4 linked regions of the Caenorhabditis elegans genome follow. The protein of the gene in region 4 purifies or fractionates together with the protein of the main gene of each other region. This does not show direct contact. Each region holds a gene or a part of one and is shown on either strand. Other genes may lie near its edges.

Region 1 (6,385 bases), on a different chromosome or scaffold from region 4:
ATATTTATATACCTATATTTTTTTTTCAACAAACCTCCAAATCAATCATTTCTCGTGGAAGTGGAGCATCTGGATTCTCACCAGTATCCAGCATCGGGATCTGATCTTTTTTAATTTCTCGTTCAAGATATCTCAATTTTCGTTCCATTTCATCACACCGTCTGACTTCATTTACATATTTTCGTTGGAAGGAGCTCACATCGGGATTAAGCTGAAAATTAAAATAAATTGAAGTTTTACTTTTTTTTAAAATTATTAATTGAAAATAGTTTTTTACATATCACAAACTCACATCACGAAACTGAACAAGTCCGAGCTCTCCCAGTTCAGCAACGCATTGATAGGAAGCATCAGATTGAAGGTAGAGTTGAGCCAGGCACATCTGCTCACTTCGATAGATGCCCGGTTGTGGTGGCTCCTCGCCGGGAGTCACGTAATCACCCATTCTAGTTGATTCTGTAAGAATTTCCATGAAATAATATGAAGATTTCAAAAATAAGAAGGAAAAAAAAATCAAAAACGCTTCTTTCGAGAGAAAACATTTAAGAAAAGCACGAGGCTAGGAGCGAAGGCCTCAGGACCGAAGACCAGATATTGACGGAGAGGGATCGATACGGAGCAGCACTGAGCAAGAAGAGAGCATGCGCTCAAACGTGCTCCATTGGAATATCATGAAAAAAGGGAGAGAAATCTAGAAAAAACTAAAGAAACAATTTGCGCAATCTAATCGATCAGCCGACACGTCATCGACATTAGAGCGTAATTCTCCAGGATCTAATAGCTAGACGCAGAGAAATAAACTTTCAGATGGCGAATAAGAAAACCTAAAGGAGATGAGGAAGAAATGAACAGGACAGGTTTTAAAAGAAAGAAAATGTCTGATTGTCTGCCTCATTCACCGCAATGTTTGAACACTGAAACCATTTGTAAGCAGTGTTATAGGATGGAGAAACGTAAACATTGGGCGACTCACATTTCGTGGATATTATGAAATTCAATCGATTCGATCAAAAGGTTGAGAGAAATGAAATAATTGTAGAGCAGTGGGGGAGATTGAGTGGTGATAACGCGAAAAAACGATAAGATTACGCTGCGAGAGGTCAACTTTGCACAAAAACTTCAATTTTGATGCGGAAATTGTATTAAATTTAAGAGAATTGTTTCTTTGCAAAAAGATTTTATAAATAGTGTTTCAAAGTAACATCAAACCATAGAATCCAGATCCAGAACGAAAAACGCTGACTAAAAACACTAAAGAAGAATATTGCTTTGAAGAAAAAACCTGTGAGATGTTTTCGGAACAAAGATGAGTGATTGAAGACGAAATATTTTTAATGAAAAGTTTATTCTACAATTTTAAAACTTTGCGGCCAAAATAAATTTTGGTAAACACTTAGTAGGAATGAACAATTTTATAATGTTTCTTGCCAATAAGGAGAGAAATGAATCATGAGAATGGAAAGAGAAGAACAATATAAACAAAATAATTCGTTTTAAATGCGGAAAGGAAGAAAAAAACATGTTTCACCGCATGATCTTGTGTAAAACCATGTTTAAAATTTAATGATAACCCAGGAAAGATGGAAAATCAATACAAATAAGAAATAAAACAAATAAAAAAAAAAAAAAAACTTTCACGAGAAAATCCAAAAACGGAATGTCACGACGTTCGACTGTCAAACAGCAGCTCTCCCTTTTTTCCGTTTCCCACCACATTCACTTCTCTCAGCTGTGTTCTGTTTTCCAACAGACAGCGCTCCACCGTACCTCGCTACACTGCCGCAGGGCAATCGCGTCGAGACCATCACGCTGTTTGAAATCGGCTGTTGGTTGGGGAAAAGAACCGCCATTTCAAAGTTTTTTTCGCGCGCGCGCGTCCGCATTCTTTCATTGATTTTTGTCTCGTGGTCTGAAATTATTCAAAAATTTGTTATTTTTCAGATAAAAATGTCGTCTGCGGTGAGAAGTCCGCGGAAAAAGGCAGCAAGTGACACGTCTGATCCTGTAAGTTATTGGAAATATTGATTTTATTGGGTTTTCGTGTTTTTAAAAATAAAGAAGTTGTAAATTAAAGAAAGATATTGAAAGTATGCATGACATTCGGTATTTTCAGGATCGCACCAGCTCACCATACAGTCTCCGTGAAACATCTAAAGTTCCATCGAGATATCGTAATGAAGAACTATACCTATCACCGTCTCGCAGTATCAAACGTACCGGATCTCCCAAAAAGTAACAAGCTGTTCCGAAAAAGTGGCCGACTAATCTTATGATTTTACAGATCTCCCGCGAAACGCCTGAATGGAGGTAGAGATTCTCCTTCAGTGAACTCATTGACCCGAAACTCAAGTCTAACAATGCTCGCAAAGGCAGCTCTTGATTATGAATCTTCCAGTTGTGCTTTGGAATATATTGTAAGTTTTAAAACAATTGTATTGTTGTCATGTCTCCAAGTTCCAGCCAAAAGAAGAACGACGCCCTCCACGCAGAGCTCTTGCTCTGTCTCCGCCTCCAGCACCAAGTAATGATCTTCTCGCAAAGGATCTGGAGATGATTGAGATGCATCAAAACCTTGTAGCAGGTCTTGATGATTTAGATAATCCTGCGAATATGACAAATGAAGCTGTAGAACATCGAGATACACAGTCATTCTTCAACATGTTCAGTACAGATCAAGAACGAAGTGCCATGATGAAACAATTCAAAACGTATAAAAATCAAACAAGTGAAGATGTGAGCACATTTATGAGAGCTAATATAAAGAAACTCTACAATTTGCTCCGATATAAGAAAGCTCGTCAATGGGTCATGTGCGAGTTCTTCTATTCTGCAATCGACGAACAAATTTTCAAAGAAGAAAACGAGTTTGCCACAATTATCCGCGAATCTTTCCCAAATCTGAAAAATTGGAATTTAACGCGTATTGAGTGGCGGTCGATTCGAAAACTTCTCGGAAAGCCACGTAGATGCTCGAAAGTGTTTTTTGAAGAAGAAAGAATGTACCTGGAAGAGAAAAGAATGAAGATTCGAAGTGTCTATGAAGGAAGTTATCTTAACGTAAGGCTGAAGAGGTGTATCATTTTCAATAAATGTTCTTTCAGGATCCATCGATTGATCTAAAAGATCTTCCAGCCAAGCTTCCACGTCCAATGGTGGTTGGAAATCGTGTATTTGCGAGAATTCGAAATCCCTACGATGGAATTTATTCTGGAATTATTGATGCTGTCATTCCGAAAGGATTCAGAATTATTTTTGACAAGGTTTGTAAAAGGAGACTCAATATCACCCAAAACGCCCGAATTTTGTAACGAGATGTCTTAAAATTTCGCCACAAACCTATTTTCAGCTAAATTCGTGAACTTCGCCAACTTGTCCATTTTGTACATGCTGGAATGCAATTCTTATTGCATTTTCAACAGTTATTGCATATTTTAGTGGTTTATTTCGCTTTAATTCTATGATTTAGGATCACTTTAAGTCGATAGACACCAAAAATATCAAAGTAGGATTCTTATCGACTTAAAATGTGCTCAAATCATCGAATTACTACCAAAATATGCAATAAAAAGTGTTAGGAGAAATTGACAAAATTTAATGATTTAGCTGAAAATAGGAAGTCTTTGGAAATTAAGACGTCCTATTACTATATTCGGTAGTTTTGGATCATAAATTATTTTGTTTTAGGGAAATTTGAATATTTGAAATTCTATAAATTCCAATGTTTTATTCTTTCAGCCAGATATCCCACCAACACTGGTTAGTGACACGGAAATACTTCTCGACGGAAAACTTGATTTGTTGAGTATCGCCTACTTCATTGAACAAGCCAACTCTAAGCTTCCATCAGGCGTTCGTCCATTTGTAGCAGCAGTTCGTGACTCATCACATCCACATCTTGTTCGTGACGTCCTGGTTTCTCGAAAAATCGAGAGAAGTGGTGGACCATTAATGGGACCGAACGACGAACGATTAAATGGAAAAAATGCAGAAATGGTTGGAAATTTCCCGCTGAAATTCCTTGTGAATCTTGTGAAACTGACGAAATTAATTGATATCAAAAAGGGATTGATACGACAATTGAACGAATTGAATGCGGATGCCGAGATACAAAATATGACGTCAGACAAATATTCGAAAGCTTTTCAGGTACATTTTTAATTAGAAATTTTTTTTGATATATGAAAAAGTCAACTAGATAGAATCTAAAAAACAATTTTTTTTCAGGAGAAATACGCCAAAACTATCATCGATCTGGAACATGTGAATCAGAATATAGATATCAATATGAATGGAATTCAAGATCACCATATGTATTTCTCTTCGAATGATGTAATTTTTCATTTCCTGATTCTTCGAAAGATCTATTTGTTTGCAGATTTCAACGTCAAATATGAAACCTGAAGCAGTTAGACAAATGTGCTCTCAACAAGCTGGAAGATTTGTAGAGCACTGTAATCAAGGATTAAATGTAGAGAATGTGCATGCGTTGACACTTATTCAATCATTGACAGCTGTCCTTTTACAGGTTTGTGGCACTATAGACTGCAGAATAATAATTTATTAATGAAAAAAAAAATTGAAAATGTAAAAATTCATTAGAAAATAAACTTCGGTTTTTACCAAATCCTCTTTCCTAATTTCATTATGGGACGATGCAAGTGAATTTCTCGTCATTTCTCGACACATTTTTTGCAATGCAAGTGTGCGGAGAAATGACGAGAAATGTCGTGAAATTCGCAATTTCTACGCGTTTCTCGACATATGAGATGTGTCCTCGCAGGGTGGTAAGACATTTCACCCTGTTAAAAGTGCGGTGAGTAGGCGGAGTTTCCTGCGGGGACACATGTTTCTGCGTATCTCACCGTTCATCATATGTCGAGAAATGCGGAGAAATTGCAAATTTCACGACATTTCTCGTCATTTCTCCGCGCACTTGCATTGCAAAAAATGTGTCGAGAAATTACGAGAAATTCACCACGTGTTTTCAGCTCGACCATTCGGTGTAATTTGTGCAAACACCGTCACGCGCTGCGGTGAAATTCCTCTTGGCGAATTCAAATATTTTTTCCCGCCTTTTTTGAAAATTTTCGAGGCGTTGGTCGAGCTGAATACACGTGTTCACTTGCATCGTCCCATTAGAATTAATTACAAATTACTATTTTACAAAAAAAAAACTAAAATTGTTTCCTAGAATTCAAAATTACCTGGTCATCGGTAAAACACTATTAAAAAATTTTTTTACTGCAGAAAAATATTAGAAAAAATATTATATTTTTCCAGGTTCGCACAATGGGAACTCAAAAGATCTCTGCAGTTGATCTTCAATCACTTGGTGACGCCATATCTGAAATTCGGACCGCTATTCACCCCCGCAACGTGGCATTCTTCCAAGACTACGTTGAAGTTCATATGAAACAATTTCACACAATTATGCTCGAAAGTGGAGCACTAGCTGGAACTGTATCGAACAGAAAATAACTAAAAGCGTCTCATTTTGTCCAAAAAAACGCCAACCGGTCCCGTCAGTTTTTGTTTTTCTGAATATTCTCAGTTCTCTCATCTCTGCTCTCTCTCTCTCCCCACCTTCTTCAATCACTTTGTGTCTTTTCAAAATTGTACCCGATCATGAGACACATCCCCATTTTTCTTATTTTTTAAAAGTAGTTCAACCTTGATAATTCGAATGTGCCAAAATTCTATTTTCTTCCTCATTGTCATCATCATCATCATCAGTTTTCGAGAAAAACGAGCCAAATAACGAAACCCTTGTCAGTTATACTCCACTATTTTTTATTTTACTGACTGTCTAGAAAATAAATAAAATTTTAAAGTTTCAGGTGAATTTTCATTTTATTATGTTTGCCAGCGGTGAGAAGATATTAGCCCGGACACAAAAGTGAGCGCTAAAAGTACGGTAACTGGTCACGACAAATGTCTGTTAAATACAAACGGATGTGCGCCTTCAAAGATTACTGTAGTTTTAAACTGTCTTTGCTGCGTAATTTTGATCAATTTTTATAGTGTGTTGCGCGCCTTGCTTCGTATTTGAATTCCATTCGCATTTTTTGCTGTTTTGCTGCTAATTTCTTTATTAAATTTATCACGAATGCGTTATTTCGGAGCTTCGTTGTTTCGTTTGAAAGTAAAAATAAAAATAGGAGGAATCGTGGCGAGACCCGCTCCCTACGAAATCTCATGTCCCTTTAACTTTTTGCGCCAAAAAACGAATTTCAATTTTTTTAAAAGTCATTTTTAGCTTTTTTTCTTAATTTTCTTATTTTTTAACAAAAATTTCACTGAAAACCGACAAAAATACATTTAAAACTGTTTAAAAAATTTGAAAAAATAGTTAAAATTTAAAAAATTTCTGTTAATCTTTTATGAA
Region 2 (3,789 bases), 290 kb from region 4:
CAAAAATTGAAAATTTCAGGAAATGGCCACTCTTGAAGATGGAACCTCCGAAGATCGCGTCGCAAATGATGAATACAAAATTTGGAAAAAGAACACCCCGTTCTTGTACGATCTCGTAATGACACATGCGCTTGAGTGGCCTTCACTCAGTGTTCAATGGCTCCCAGACGTTGCGAAGGTATGTGTTCTCATATAATTCACAACTTTCATGAAGTGAATTCAAATAATTTAGGATAACAGCGACCATACTATTCATCGGCTCATTCTTGGAACTCATACTTCAGATGAGCAGAATCACTTGCTTATTTCTAAGATCTGTATGCCAACGGATGATGCCCAATTTGATGCATCTCGCTACGATACCGAGCGCAGTGAATACGGTGGTTTCGGAGCTGTTAACGGAAAAGTGGAACCCGATATTCGCATTAACCACGAAGGGGAGGTTAACAGAGCTCGTTACATGCCTCAAAAGTCGAATATCATTGCTACAAAGTCTCCACATGCTGATGTTTACATTTTCGACTATTTAAAGCACTCTGCTGTTCCTCGTGATAACACGTTCAATCCGCTTATCAGACTGAAAGGACACACGAAGGAAGGCTATGGATTATCATGGAATCCAAACAAAGAAGGTTTGATTCTATCAGCGTCAGATGATCAGACAGTTTGTCATTGGGATATCAACGCAAATCAGAATGTTGCCGGGGAATTGCAAGCGAAGGATGTTTTCAAAGGTCACGAGTCAGTCGTTGAAGATGTTGCTTGGCACGTTTTGCATGATGGTGTCTTCGGATCGGTTGGTGACGATAAGAAATTGTAAGCTTTTGTTTTTTTTCTATTTATTAACTAATTAAAAATTATAGGCTCATTTGGGATGTGCGCACAAGCACTCCTGGACACTGTATCGATGCTCATTCTGCCGAAGTTAACTGTCTCGCATTCAATCCATATTCCGAATTCATTCTGGCCACCGGATCAGCTGATAAAACTGTCGCTCTTTGGGATCTACGTAATCTACGAATGAAACTTCACTCATTTGAATCACATCGTGATGAAATCTTCCAAGTTCAGTGGAGTCCACACAACGAGACTATTCTTGCATCCAGCGGTACTGATAAACGTCTTCATGTGTGGGACCTATCTAAGATTGGAGAAGACCAATCTGCCGAAGACGCGGAAGATGGTCCACCAGAGCTGTTGTTTATTCACGGTGGGCACACCGCCAAGATCAGCGATTTCTCGTGGAACCCGAACGAGCCTTGGGTTGTGTGCAGTGTGTCAGAAGACAATATTCTCCAAGTGTGGCAAATGGCTGATAACATATACAACGAAGTTGACGAAGAAACTCCAGCCGATGTGGTAGAGAGACAACAGTAAAATACGTGAAACGCGCTTAAATTATTTGTATTTAACTTCTATCCTTCTTTAATTTTGCATCTCAACAAATTGTTCATCTTACCATTTATTCAAACGCATATTCTTCACCAACTAAGTTTTTAAAGTTAAAATGTTACCTTGAGATATGATCATATTTTGTTGAACCTGAAATAAATTCGATGACCATTGTCAGATAACTGTTTTGAAATATTATGTTAACGTGATTGTTGTGATAGCTCAGATTGTGATATTTTTGGTTTTTTGTTGTATCTTTTGTTATTTCAGGCAATTTCAGAGCACAATGAGTGAAGCTGAATCGTGTGAAGAAACGAGTAAAGAACATAGAATTTGGAAGAAAAATGTTCCATATCTCTACGATACAGTCGTCACAAAAGAGGTCGAGTGGCCTTCTTTATCAGTGCAATGGATGCCTGATGTCACAAAAGTAAGAATCGGTAAATATGATTTCGCCTTCTTCATTATTTTTTTAAGACAGAGAACTCGGATTCATCGATGCATCGAATGATTCATGGAACACATACTTGTGGAGGAGTTCAGAATCATCTCATGATCTCAAAGTTCACAATAACGACAGACACACCAGAATTCGACGACGCTAAATGGGATTCGGAACGTGAAGAGTTCGGAGGTTATGGAGAGGGCAGCGCTGCAAAATGGGATACTGAGATTAAAATCAACCATCCAGGAGAAGTTCATAGGGCACGTTACATGCCACATAATCCTTTCATTATTGCAAGTCGAGGTCCTTCTGATGACGTTTATATTTTCGACTACACGAAGCACCCATCTGAACCAAAAGACACCAAATTTCGACCTCAATTGCGATTGAAAGGCCATGAAGGCGAAGGATATGGAATGTCGTGGAGCAACACCAGAGAGGGACATTTGCTAACTGCCGGCGATGACGGAATGGTATTTCTAACAAAAGATATACATAAATATACATTTTTTAAGATTTGCCACTGGGATATAAACGCGAATCAGACCATTTCCGGTCAAATAGTGCCACAAAGCAAGTTTAAAGGTCATTCATCAAATGCGGAGGATGTTTCTTTTCACGCGCTCCATAATTTCGTTTTTGGATCTGTTGGAGATGATAGAAAACTGTAAGTATAAATACATCATACCATTCTGTCGAGATTTCAAAATAATTTTCACGTCTTTAGAAACCTATGGGATCTGCGTCAATCAAAGCCACAGCTCACAGCCGTCGGACATACTGCAGAAGTTAATTGTATTACTTTCAATCCGTTTTCCGAATACATTTTAGCAACCGGATCTGTTGATAAAACGGTTGCTTTGTGGGATATGAGGAATATGCGCAAAAAAATGTACACGCTGAAACATCACAACGACGAAATATTTCAAGTATCGTTCAGCCCGCATTATGAAACTGTTCTGGCTAGTAGTGGATCGGATGAGTAAGTTTTTTCCTAATAAGTTGTATTTGTTTAACCTATGAAATTTCAAAAATTTCAGTCGGGTTATCGTTTGGGATATTTCTAAAATTCAAGACCCATCGTCTTCATCAGCTGCATCATCTGATTCTGTTCCACCAGAAGTTATTTTTATTCACGCTGGGCATACTGGAAAAGTTGCAGATTTCTCTTGGAATCCCAACCGCCCATGGACTATTTGCAGCAGCGACGAATTTAATGCATTACAGGCAAGAATTATTTTCAAAAAATTAATCATAACTATTTAATGGTTTTTCAGGTGTGGGAAGTTTCAAACAGTTTAGTTTCGTCGGAAAAATGGGAGACCGAAATGATTTAATCGTCTAAATTGCACTTTGTCGAATTTTACTAATTTTCTCACTTCTGATCTTTGAATGTAAAAATCACATTCCTATCAATGAACGTTTTTTCATTTTCTTTCATATTGTGTTCATCTATTCAGAATTAATTTCTCAGGTTTTCTCTGCCACTAAATATTTACTTTGAAAAATAGTGTGTTCACAATGGGGCGCACTTGCGAAACCATGTTTAGTCGGTTTACATTGCTTATTTTCTTACGATAAGGAATATATTGATTAAACATATTTCAAGGTTATCCAGAAAGAAAATGTTGAGAAATTGGAGACTTTTGGTAAGAAGTTTTGCAACAAATTCAAGTGAGGAAATCGCTCCGAAGGTTGATGTTAGTTTGTGAGTTTTCATTTTTTGCATGTTCAAAAAACAAAAAAAAACATTTTTTTAGTCTACGTCCCCGTCATCGAATCATTGCTGCTGGTGGGATGCCACCGGTTCAATTTGATTCTGAGCGTGAACGAGCATCTCGTCGTGAAAGATTCGGAAAATATGGTCTAAAAAGTGGTGTACCAGTTGAAGAGCTGTTCCCAACAGCTGAAGAAATTGAGGAAGAAGAAGCCATTGGATTGTTCAGAGAATT
Region 3 (2,810 bases), on a different chromosome or scaffold from region 4:
ATCGAAATTTAGATTTTGTGATCTGGGATATTGGCGGGCAGGAGAGTCTACGAAAGTCTTGGAGTACTTATTATGTTCAAACAGATGTTGTTATAGTTGGTATGAATAACTTTTAGTAAATGATATTAAAATTAAAATTATTTTCAGTTATTGACAGTTCCGACACCACTAGGATTCCAATTATGAAAGAACAACTGCACAATATGCTTCAACATGAAGATCTTGCTCGTGCTCATATTCTGGTTTTGGCCAACAAACAGGATCTGCCCGGAGCAATGAATCCAGCAGAAGTATCCACACAACTCGGTCTCCAGACATTACGAGGTGCTCGGAAATGGCAGATAAATGGATGTTGTGCTGTGAAAGGAGAAGGATTGCCGGAAGCTCTCGAATGGATTGCCAACAATTTGTAGAAACGTTTATATTTATAAATTTCAAAAATTGCCTTAAACTTTGCCAGCCTCGTTTTTTAAACTCTCACTGTGAGATTATGTGATTTGCCAACTTTCTAATTGTGCTCTGTTAGTAATCAAGTTTATTCATGTGAATGTTAATGAATGATGAGATCATTATTTTTTGATAGACCACTATTCAATTCACTGGCTTCCTGTCGTTTCTTCCGCTACATTTTTCGGTGGTGTTGGCTGCAAATATCTCGGAGAAGCCGAGCCAGTGGGTTTCAGCACGTTGAGCAACTTTCCACGTCGGCACTGGCGAGCTTCTTCGATTCCAAGAGTGTACACCGAGTTTTGAATGTTTCGGATGAGCTTGGCGATATCGTCGGCTGGGCAGTGGCTCATTGCTGAAAGTTAAAAATTGAAATGAATATGGAACAATATGAATACGAACTATTAACAGTCACAGCATCTTCCTTGAGAAACGAAATATTCTTGTATGGCGATTCGTAACCTTTTGATACTGATTCGCTTTGAAATGCTTCTTCAAAATCGAGACATTTCATTGGAACTGGCTCACTTTCTTCTGGCATTGTTTCGGTGCATTCGAGCATCTTTTTCTGTTGTTCTGAAAATATTTAAAATTCGAAGAATCTTTCTTTTCTACAATATAATACCAACCAAGCATTTTCGCCTGTTCTGCGTTTGATTTCTTTTCGATCATTTGTTGGACGAACATTTCGTCATCTCCAAATTCGTATCCAATAAATCCTAGCGGACGCGACATTTTTTTCCTGAAATTACCGCTATATGTCAGAATTTAAATGTTTAGAATTGAGTAAGTATAGAGCTTGTGACGAATTAAACGTTAGGCCGCAATGAAGTAATTGTATTGATTTCTTCTTCTAAAAAATAATTCTCACAAAACAAATATTTATTTGATGTGAACAAAAACGGGATGTGAAGAAAATTACTCGGGAATTTACAATAAAATACAAAAAAAAATCGATTGCTAGACAGCCTAGCCGGTGGGTACTTTACAAATTTTAAATTTACACAATACGGTTAAAAATAATGAAGAAACGAGAAACAAGGTAAAAAACATGAATCAGTGGGCAGTCGGTGGTGGAATAGAGAAATAGTGTCGGGCAGTCACATGAAGAATGATTCTGAAAAATCAAAAATAGGAACATGGTCCGCAAACACGGTAGCATATTAACGCACCACTTCTCTTTTCTCTTTGCCTCTCCGTTGCTGGCGGTTTGAACAACCTTGCGAGTGTCCCCTCCTGGCTGAGATGCGTGCTTGTGCTCCACTCTGTCAGACTTGGTGCGCTTTCCGCTTCCAGTGGTGAGATCCTAAAATTGAAATTATTCAGTTTAAATACAATATATGCATTGCACTGACCGGTCCTCCGGTTTGCTCGAATGCGGCAGCCATTTCTTCAGCAGTCGACGACATCTCGTTGGTAATTTTCTGCAACAAAAAATTATTATAAAGCTTAGAGACGTGTAAGCAACACAAAAATGAGAGAATGAACCGACACAAGAATGACCAAAACAAGTGTTATCAAAGTGAAATGGACGATGATTGGCAGTTGCATGATTAGAAAGAAGTAGGCAGAAAAGGGAGGAGAGTGCCAAGAAAACAAAACTGTGAAAGAACCGATTGAATAGCATTTGAAACGATTGGAGTGTGTTTATTTGAAGGACGATAGTGACAAATCTAAATTTTGGCGCGCGTAGTGTTGACGAAGATCAAATCTATTTACAAGTGTAAATGTTTAAAATCGATAATTTGAAATTTTCGATTAGGAATAAGGCTGAAAAGTATTTAAACAAAGCTTCAATTGAGAAATACCAGAAAAATTCGTTAAAAATTTTCAACGAGTTTAAAGGAGGGCGCATTTGTGTGGAATTTGTGTGGCGTAGAGATTTCTTTATTGATTTTTCTCGTTTTTTTTTTTTAATATTCTGACTTATATTGCGTTTATCAGCCATAATAAATGTTAAAAAGGTCGAAAATGAGAAAAATCAATGGAGAATGAAAAACAACTCTAAATGAGAGTGCGTTTTTGTAGAAAAGCTCTACAAAAGTGAGAAATAAAGTAACGTTTTCAGGCTTTTTTTCAAGAATAGAAATCTGCCTGAATATTTTTAGCGAATCAACAGCAGACGGACAGTTTCATTCAAATACTCGTATTTATACATTTGCGTTGGCGCCAGAGACACGTGATGGATAGACGAGCGGAGACCATCGAAAAAAGTAAAAATGAAAAGAGACGCAGAGCAGCACATTTTGAGGGCTGACTTGTTTCTGCTAGATATATTGGTGCGGTGTCATCGAAGGCACAGAACAAAAAGAAAAAAGAAGCAAGAAAGAAAAAAAAGAAACGAACAAACAAGACAAAAAAAA
Region 4 (7,767 bases):
GGCACTTGTGGGGCAGTCATTTTGAGAAGAGCCTCCGAGAATCCAGGCATTTGAAGGAGCATTTGAGATGTTGGGGAGCTCTTTTCCGCGGAGCCAGGAGCAACTGGAGCAGCAACAGGTCTTGATGGTGTTGATTGAATCTCTGGGATCACGGATGGAACAGGTGACTCGCATTTAACTTCTTCTTCTTCTTTAATAAGAGTTGGAATATCATCTGATGTTGTTTCAACGTCAACTTCCATCTCGTTCTGAAATAAATTACCGTTAAGATTAAAAGATAAAGTGACTTTGGTAAGTTTTTCAAATCTTCACAACTGCCCATTTCGGATCAAAAATTAATATAGAAAAATGGAAAAATATCTGATTGATTCGGAAATAATCTTCATTTTCTTGGGAAATTTGGAAACTGGAGGAAGTTGTCATTTACCAAAAAACTGTCTTAGAATTTTTTTTCGGTAAAGGACAGTTTGAGAAAGTTTTTCAGGTCTTTAAAGTAATTTTTATGAGCATTTTCCCAAAACTTTTAAATAAAATTATTTTCAGAGAGTACAAATATTCCTCAATTAAAAACTTCTCAGAATCAAATGTTATAAATTATTGTACCTCTTTCTTTGACTCCTCTTCCAATGTAGCAAGTGGTTGTGTTTGAGAGAATTGTTGGAAGAGAGCATCCATCATTTGACTGAAAATTCAATTTTATAGAAACTGTTTATTGAGAATGAAATAGAATACCTTGATGGAATGAGTCCTGCTTGTGCTGCAGCCAACAATTGCTGAGCTGACAATCCAGCTGGAAGTCCAGAAAGTGTCAAGTCAAGTGGACATTCATCAGAAATACTGATTCCCTTAATTGGAGTTTTCGTGCGTTGTGGTGTTGTCTTAATTCCCTTCCGTGCAAGCTTTTCCTGATGGGCAATTGGACAACCAGAGAGACTACGGTGAGATGTTCTATTTCCATTGACATGTCCCTTTCCAGAGCATCCGGCTGTGGTGCATCGGAGCACGGTGTCTTGTCGGAGAGCAAGCACTGCAAACGGGAAAAGTAAGTGAGTGAGTGGGAAAAGTCATCAATCTTTGGCTCTTGCTACTGCTACAAGTATTGGCTTCAAAGTAAGTATGAAATGCATGAGAGCTCATTTATCTTAAGCTCTTTTTACCAGATTAATGAGCTAGTTTACTTGTTGCTCCAAGTTCACAGCCAGCTAAGATTTATGTTTAGTTTCAATTTAAACTTACTTTGGATAACAGTCTTGTCTGGTCTACGTGGACATCCGGACAAACTTCTGTGATGAGTGTAGAGTCCTGTCTGATGTCCTGATCCATCACATCCAGGTGTTGGACAAGCCAGTTTGCCTTCTGAAAGTTGGGACTTAGTACCGCTCCAAATGGAATTTCATGTGATTCGGTGCGAGTGGAGTGGTAAGTGAGGGGATTAGTTTATTTTGTGGTTAGTGCACTCATTTTATCCCTCCCAAATGGATTATTATTTTTTGATATTCTTCGAAAGAAAACTCAGAATGGGGGAATTAGTGGTTAGTAAGTTGGGGTTAGAGATTGATTTTCAACTGAAATATCTTCAGAGGATTACTGTAGGGTCCCAACTTTCTGTTCAAAAAGTCCTTACCACGTCTGATGCTCCATGAGTAACCAGTACCAGGTGATGGAATTGATCCGTTTGGAGTAAATGCAACTGTTGGAGTTGTAGAGATTGAAAGTTCATCACTGATATTTGTATGTGTAATTGGAGACATAACTCGAGATTCTGATCCAGATGAGTGTGGTGGGCTTGAAGCAGTTAATGGAGTCTTTGGAGTATCCGACGATGTCATCATTGGGCTCTGAAAATCGTATTTTTTGGTAAAAAAGATATGAAACGAAGAAAAACAATAATAGTAATCCATCAAAGTTGGCAAGTCTCACTCTTTACTACTACTACTCCTAGTAAGAACAATCGGTGAGGCGGCAGTGTCATTGGTCACGCAATGTCATCCGTTGGGTTCTAAGGTGTTTTGTGTCTGTTTTGACATATAATTAAAGTTGGAAGCCCTTGCGTGACCAGCAACTTGTTATTTCAAGTCATTGCTACCAACTAGGTGGTCCGAGGAGTTGTAAGAAATTTGATCTACCGTACTCGCTTTAACAATTGAATTTAATAGAGTTTCCAAAAGTTCCGTGAATTTTCCTGAGAACTTTCCTAAATCTTATAGAAAATTCCAGAAGTTTTCCTAATTTTCTAAAATCTCCAGAAGATTTTTGAACCTCCTAGAACTTTTCAAACGTTTCTCCAGCTTTTCTTTCTGAAACCTTTCGAAACAGTTTCGACTTTTCAAAGTTGCTCGGTTCTTCCAAGACCTTCCAGATGATTTTTAAAAATTTTTAAAAATTTTCCGGAACTTCCCAAAATTTCCTCGAAGACATGACCCTAATTTTCGTTAAGCTAGGCATTGCAAAACTACCAGTTTCCCTTGAAACTTCTCACTTAAATTTTCAAAATTTTGAAATAATTTCCCAAGTTGAGCTGCCATTCCCAATTTCAATATGTGTCAATGTGAGTTCATAAATATGCAACAAGTCACTTTTCTCTACCGTGTGCCCCCCATTCCCACTTCACTTCTTTTCACTCAAAATGCAAATTTCTTTGGCTTCTCACCTTTGACGACGACGTCTCCTCTGCTGTCACGACACCACCATCCAAAACTGAGTCGACATCGGAAGGTGATGTGTCAGAGTGTGTGGCGCTCATCATATTTCCTGATGTAAAAATTTCAAGCTGTTTTTGGAAGGATGGAGCCATAAATTGCGAGAAGAGGAACGACGGAACTCCTTCGAGGCCACTTGGAACTGATGAGGTGACGACATCTGCGGAGGTGGCGGTCTGAAAGTGAATGGAATGAATGAAGATGTTATCTCAAAGGATCTCAGACAGATGTACAGGCACATGTTCTTCTTCGGAAGCATAAAAAAGTTGTTAGGTAATAGTTCGGAACGATGGAACAGGTGCTCTCTCTAGGCCCTGTCAGCTGTCTTTTGCGTCCTTTTAAGACCATCCAAGGACACATCATATATTTAATTGCCGATTCGATTTCAAAACCGAACACTAAATTTTACTAACCTGTTCAGTTGGTTTCTGTGCATTGTTTGTTGTCGTGTCACAAGTCATATTCTGATCTTCTTCTGTTTCGTTTTCTTTTGTATCTGAAGATGATGGAATCGATGAACACGTGGCAGCAGCGGCTTCGGCTTCTTCGGCAACACGGACAATGTCTTTAGCTGTAATGAGCAAAAGTCATGATGTGAAGGGTAATGATGGAGCGGTAATGTATGGAGTTCTAATGAATAGGTAGAGCAACATGAGGAGATGAGTACAAGAACATCTGTCAACTCGTAAGATTCTGATATTTGAGATGAGAGATGCATTAGCTAAGTAGGGGTAAATCCCAAGAAGAGAAGTTTCAGTAGATCAAGTTCAAATTTCCGAGGCCAGATATTTTTCAGGGAGTTGAAAATTGAAGCTCCTTTGGTCGCCAGCATTTGTTTCATAAAAATTCACTTTTGAATAATTTTCTATTTCGCTACATTTATCAATTTAGGTATGCGGCAGGCGTAGGCCTCAGGTACTGTCAGAAAAGTTTCAGCCAATCCATCATGACTGTCAACTACAGTAATCTACCCATATGCCTCATTTTCCCATTCTACAATTTTCCTAACTCTTCCCTAATCTTTACCACCTTACCACCATATGTCATGTAAATGGTTCCAGATAGAGCGGTGACTAAAGAGAACGCAATGAATGTATAATTAATGATGCAGGACTTCTCCCCTCTGTTAGAGATCACTTGCGGTAAAAAAACTACAATAGAAGTGGGAAGCTTTTGATTGAGAAAAGGAAGTAACCAATGAGCCGAAGCGCGCCCTATGATGTTTTTGAAGTGGACCGCCCGTTTTTCGGAGATGGTCATGATGTAACCAGAAGCAGAGCACAATTCGCACAATTATGGACCGGAAAATGGAAGGAAGTGACAACTTGGCGGTGTCTTTTTGAGATTTTTTAATGAACAGAAGGAAATTTGTTTACATAGCCATTTTGAGGTGTTTTTGATTATGTAACTTATCGACTCACTGTGGCCCATTGTCACCTTTATCAGTAACTTTTTAAAATTAACTTTTGGAGTTAAAAAACCGAAAATTTGTACGAAAAGTGATTCAGTTGGCTAAATATAGCTACTTACTGCCTAGAAAAATCAAATCTCCAAAAAGTGACGCAAAGGTGATACTACAAATCGGTGTGTAAAACATCGACTTATAAGTCAGTTTCTGCCAGCCATCTGCAACCAAAAAAGGTGATATGACAAGAAGTCTTCATTTTTTGATTAGCAATAAAGAAAAAGTTTTGCAGAATGATTGCCCAAAATTACGGTATGGTGCCGTTGAAAAATATATAAAATATATAAAATTCCAGCTAATTGAAGCCGATGCACTTTGTATGGGAGGCATTTTGAATTTCAAAGGAAAGTTTTTAGCAAACAAAAAAACAAAGTGCTGGCGGTCTGTAGAGAACATCTGGCGACAGATGGAGGGGTACTTTTAAGAGGAGACAACTTCTAAGGGGGGAAAGATTTTGGATTTTGGATTTAAAGGTCACGACACTCACTCACTCGAATAGCCGAAATAATTGAATGGTAAAAAGTAAAAAGCGTGTGGCGGCTGTTTAAACTTTAAGCTTACATATTGGTCATTCGTAGAAGCATCTATATCACTGCTGACCATGGAAAAGTACTAGAGCTCCCTGTTTGAGCAGCTGTCGGTGTCTCCCAGTCACACTGTGCTTACGGGGTGGCCATATTTAGATTTTGACCATATAATAGTACTAGTAAATAGTACGAGAAAAAACTATTTGACGAGAAGAGAAAAATTATCTAGAAAGTCTTGTAGGGAGCAAGGAGAAAAAAATAATTTGAAAGTGAAGTTTCTGACTTTGAAATGGCTCTCTTTCTCAAATCTAAGTCAAAACGACTACAACATAATGCGATTTGACGTTGCGACACTAGATCAACCCGGGTTGTAGTTGAAAGAGTTGGAAAATATTGAAAAATCCAAAAACAAATGATGATGACGAGTAGGGTCAGAAGACCCAAATCTTTTCGATCCATTTTATCACAAGAATCAGATGGCAGATGGAGTTGCATTTGCAAAGTTATAGAGAGACAGTGGGGATTACGAGAGGAGAAGAATTGAACAAAGAAGGTTTCCCACGAGAAAAGTTTTACAGGTCAGGAGGAAATCCTCTATTCACTCTTAATTAAACAATTAGTGACACTTTGAAACTAGGCAAATAGCACCTAACCGAAACAATATTAAAACTATTCACACTGGAATTATAAATTAGAACAAATAAGTGCCGACTAGGAGAGAGTTTTACTTTAACAAACTGTATTCCGGGTTTTTTTTTGTTTTATCAAAATGTTTAACTATTAAAATGAAGAGAAATATTTGGCACGTACTTTGCCTGTTGAATAATTTTTAAAAGTTCAAAGATTGAGATAAACGATATAAAAGTAGAGAATTTTAGGGGCAAGTACCGCTTAACCATATGACTACGACTTTCATCGATTCCATCTTAGCTGTTTTTGGTATTATCAAGAAGTGAACGAGTTTTTATTTGTTTTCTATAGTTTACTGGTTGAATTAAATCAAGCTTAGAGTAACCAAGACACATGTAATCAAAAAGATTTTACCTATGAAAATAAAAACTAAATATTTTCCCAAATTTCTCCAGTTATTTTTTTTAATATAAAACACAAAGTATCCGAAATACAAGCTGAGCAACATCTCAAACTTTTCCCAAACTTACATTCTGGCTTCCGGCGTCTCTTCTTATCAGAAGAATCTGAAGCTGTGGAGTCTGGAGATTCAGATCCATCGGAATGAGTATCTGGAGGTGTTGGAAGTGAACCAGAAGATTTCATGAGCAATGACATTAAAACTGCTGGATCAATGGATGAAAAGTCTGGGTTGTTGGAGATTGATGACATTTTGATATAGATAAAGTCCTAAAACATATTTTTTAAATAGTAAGAAGGTACAGAGAAAAAGTTTTCAGCAAACAAGAAAAGTAGCAAGAAAGTGTAGAAGGACCACAGAATGACCACACATAGACACTCAAAGTAAGGAGGGCGGTCTGGAGGAGGACACCATCTGCTTAGCGGCGTGGTGCACCTGGCATCATGCATTGCCCGCGCACATACAGAGACTCCGCCTTCTTTTGGACAGTAATGGGGTTGCGTTCGGGTACCAAGTTAAACCCCAATGGCCCCCGATAATGCTTACGGGGGCAGGTGTGGAAGAGCAGGAAATGAATTATTGGAGATGGGACAGCAGGGATTAGGTAAAGTTAGATGTGCATGGTATTCAGTGGAGAACACTTGATGGGAGGATGGAAAATAATAATAATAGTTTACGTTGCGCGTGTATGGGAGATCAAATCCATCAGATTAGATGGTACAGACAAGACACTTGTAATGCGACACCTGTCTATGGCACTTTTGAATAAAGAGCTATGAATAGTATAGTCTAGATATGGAGTTTTTCAAACTTTTGAAGCTAATTGTATGTATAATAATTTTGAAAATGTGAAAAGTTGTCAATGGACGATACACAATTGTAATTTTTCAGGATTCACTGATAATTTTTGGATTTTGAAACTTTACACAAGTTCACCTAACAAATAGTTTTTTAACAGATATCAAAAAGTAACTAACTACAAAACGGTAGAAAAATGAATAAACATTTTCTTGCCAATTGATAATCTGTTGATATAGCAGAATACAACCTAGCAAAGTTGAAAAATTTAGAAGCAAAACAAATAAAGTCTGAATTTCTAGATTACCCCAGAAAGTAGGTAGTGTACACTTCCAAGTTTGGTAGATCTTCTTCTTGAACAAAATCAATCATAATCCTAAAACATATCTTCACTGTCACTATAGTAACAGTTTCACATTCAAGTGTGAACCGGAAGATTACAGAAATTTGAATGATTATCCTACATTTTGTTTGTTTTGAATGTAACAGAAGATAAGCCAAACTCTGAGGCGGTCAAGAGGAGAACCTAATAAAAGGTGAGGGATCTCGTTTATGACGTGGCAATGTATATTGGTTATGCACACAGAAATAGATACTATTGGGAAGTTATGTAGGTCACTGTATTGACAACAGGCAGACCTAATAGAGTGCAAACTAAACTTATTATTAGATAGAGATCTTACAAGGGTACACAGTTTTTAATTTTAGACCGTTTAACGAAATGTTTTTAAATTTACTTATATGATCGAGAAAAACATTAAAACTGAAATCCCACAAGTATAAGCCGTATTTTCCTACTACGGAAAGAGCAGGTTCTTGAATCATAGGACTTTTAATGGGGAAGATCTACCAAGTTTGGAAGTGTATGCTACCAACTTTTGTTTAGTAACCATCTGGAAAACTAGCCACTCTATCAGACTTGAACCCTAATGCTTAATTTTGACAGATGTTTTTTTTCATCAGAAATTATCAACTAGCACAAATGTAACATTTCTATCTCTACAATTTAGTAATTAACTACTTTTTGTATTTTTAAAATGTAGTGAAATATAGAATGCCAACTTGAAGAGAGAAATACTAATAGAAAAAAGCGCATCATGCTTATCAACCAACTTAACACTTTATATGTGAATTCGCAACTCTAGATAACTCTAGATATCAGTTTTAATTTACATTATTAGAAAAAAA

Evidence for each region.
Region 1: the proteins of ztf-11 (region 4) and lin-9 purify together in Caenorhabditis elegans (co-purification; one study listed by BioGRID). This does not show direct contact.
Region 2: the proteins of ztf-11 (region 4) and rba-1 purify together in Caenorhabditis elegans (co-purification; one study listed by BioGRID). This does not show direct contact.
Region 3: the proteins of ztf-11 (region 4) and lin-52 purify together in Caenorhabditis elegans (co-purification; one study listed by BioGRID). This does not show direct contact.

Annotation. Positions count from the first base shown.
Region 1 is NC_003281.10:8,899,688-8,906,072, reverse strand, and holds lin-9 (Protein lin-9), read left to right. Parts: upstream 1-1,941; 5' UTR 1,942-1,947; coding exon 1,948-2,004; intron 2,005-2,113; coding exon 2,114-2,232; intron 2,233-2,281; coding exon 2,282-2,414; intron 2,415-2,454; coding exon 2,455-3,057; intron 3,058-3,101; coding exon 3,102-3,260; intron 3,261-3,735; coding exon 3,736-4,146; intron 4,147-4,224; coding exon 4,225-4,329; intron 4,330-4,375; coding exon 4,376-4,525; intron 4,526-5,280; coding exon 5,281-5,478; 3' UTR 5,479-5,835; downstream 5,836-6,385. Other genes in the region: unc-32 (V-type proton ATPase 116 kDa subunit a 1), read right to left, coding at 35-211, 293-445. UniProt on the Caenorhabditis elegans protein: Synthetic multivulva class B (synMuvB) protein. SynMuvB proteins are required to repress the induction of vulval development by Ras signaling and probably act by forming the multiprotein DRM complex that represses transcription.
Region 2 is NC_003279.8:9,615,991-9,619,779, reverse strand, and holds rba-1 (putative histone-binding protein rba-1), read left to right. Parts: upstream 1-1,672; 5' UTR 1,673-1,678; coding exon 1,679-1,822; intron 1,823-1,869; coding exon 1,870-2,310; intron 2,311-2,352; coding exon 2,353-2,504; intron 2,505-2,564; coding exon 2,565-2,819; intron 2,820-2,877; coding exon 2,878-3,064; intron 3,065-3,114; coding exon 3,115-3,174; 3' UTR 3,175-3,264; downstream 3,265-3,789. Other genes in the region: putative histone-binding protein lin-53, read left to right, coding at 23-178, 233-816, 864-1,377; K07A1.10 (Large ribosomal subunit protein mL64), read left to right, coding at 3,463-3,545, 3,598-3,789. UniProt on the Caenorhabditis elegans protein: Core histone-binding subunit that may target chromatin assembly factors, chromatin remodeling factors and histone deacetylases to their histone substrates in a manner that is regulated by nucleosomal DNA. Plays a role in regulating cell cycle progression.
Region 3 is NC_003281.10:9,823,562-9,826,371, forward strand, and holds lin-52 (Protein lin-52), read right to left. Parts: upstream 1,190-2,810; 5' UTR 1,183-1,189; coding exon 1,077-1,182; intron 1,024-1,076; coding exon 850-1,023; intron 803-849; coding exon 597-802; 3' UTR 522-596; downstream 1-521. Other genes in the region: arl-5 (ADP-ribosylation factor-like protein 5), read left to right, coding at 1-99, 148-413; ZK632.9 (uncharacterized protein), read right to left, coding at 1,564-1,564, 1,620-1,753, 1,803-1,856. UniProt on the Caenorhabditis elegans protein: Synthetic multivulva class B (synMuvB) protein. SynMuvB proteins are required to repress the induction of vulval development by Ras signaling and probably act by forming the multiprotein DRM complex that represses transcription.
Region 4 is NC_003279.8:9,904,496-9,912,262, forward strand, and holds the start of ztf-11 (Zinc finger protein ztf-11), read right to left. Parts: upstream 6,051-7,767; 5' UTR 6,033-6,050; coding exon 5,852-6,032; intron 4,941-5,851; exon of another isoform or gene 4,830-4,940; intron 3,271-4,829; coding exon 3,113-3,270; intron 3,031-3,112; exon of another isoform or gene 2,908-3,030; intron 2,876-2,907; coding exon 2,651-2,875; intron 1,839-2,650; coding exon 1,625-1,838; intron 1,357-1,624; coding exon 1,237-1,356; intron 1,028-1,236; coding exon 733-1,027; intron 683-732; coding exon 604-682; intron 249-603; coding exon 1-248.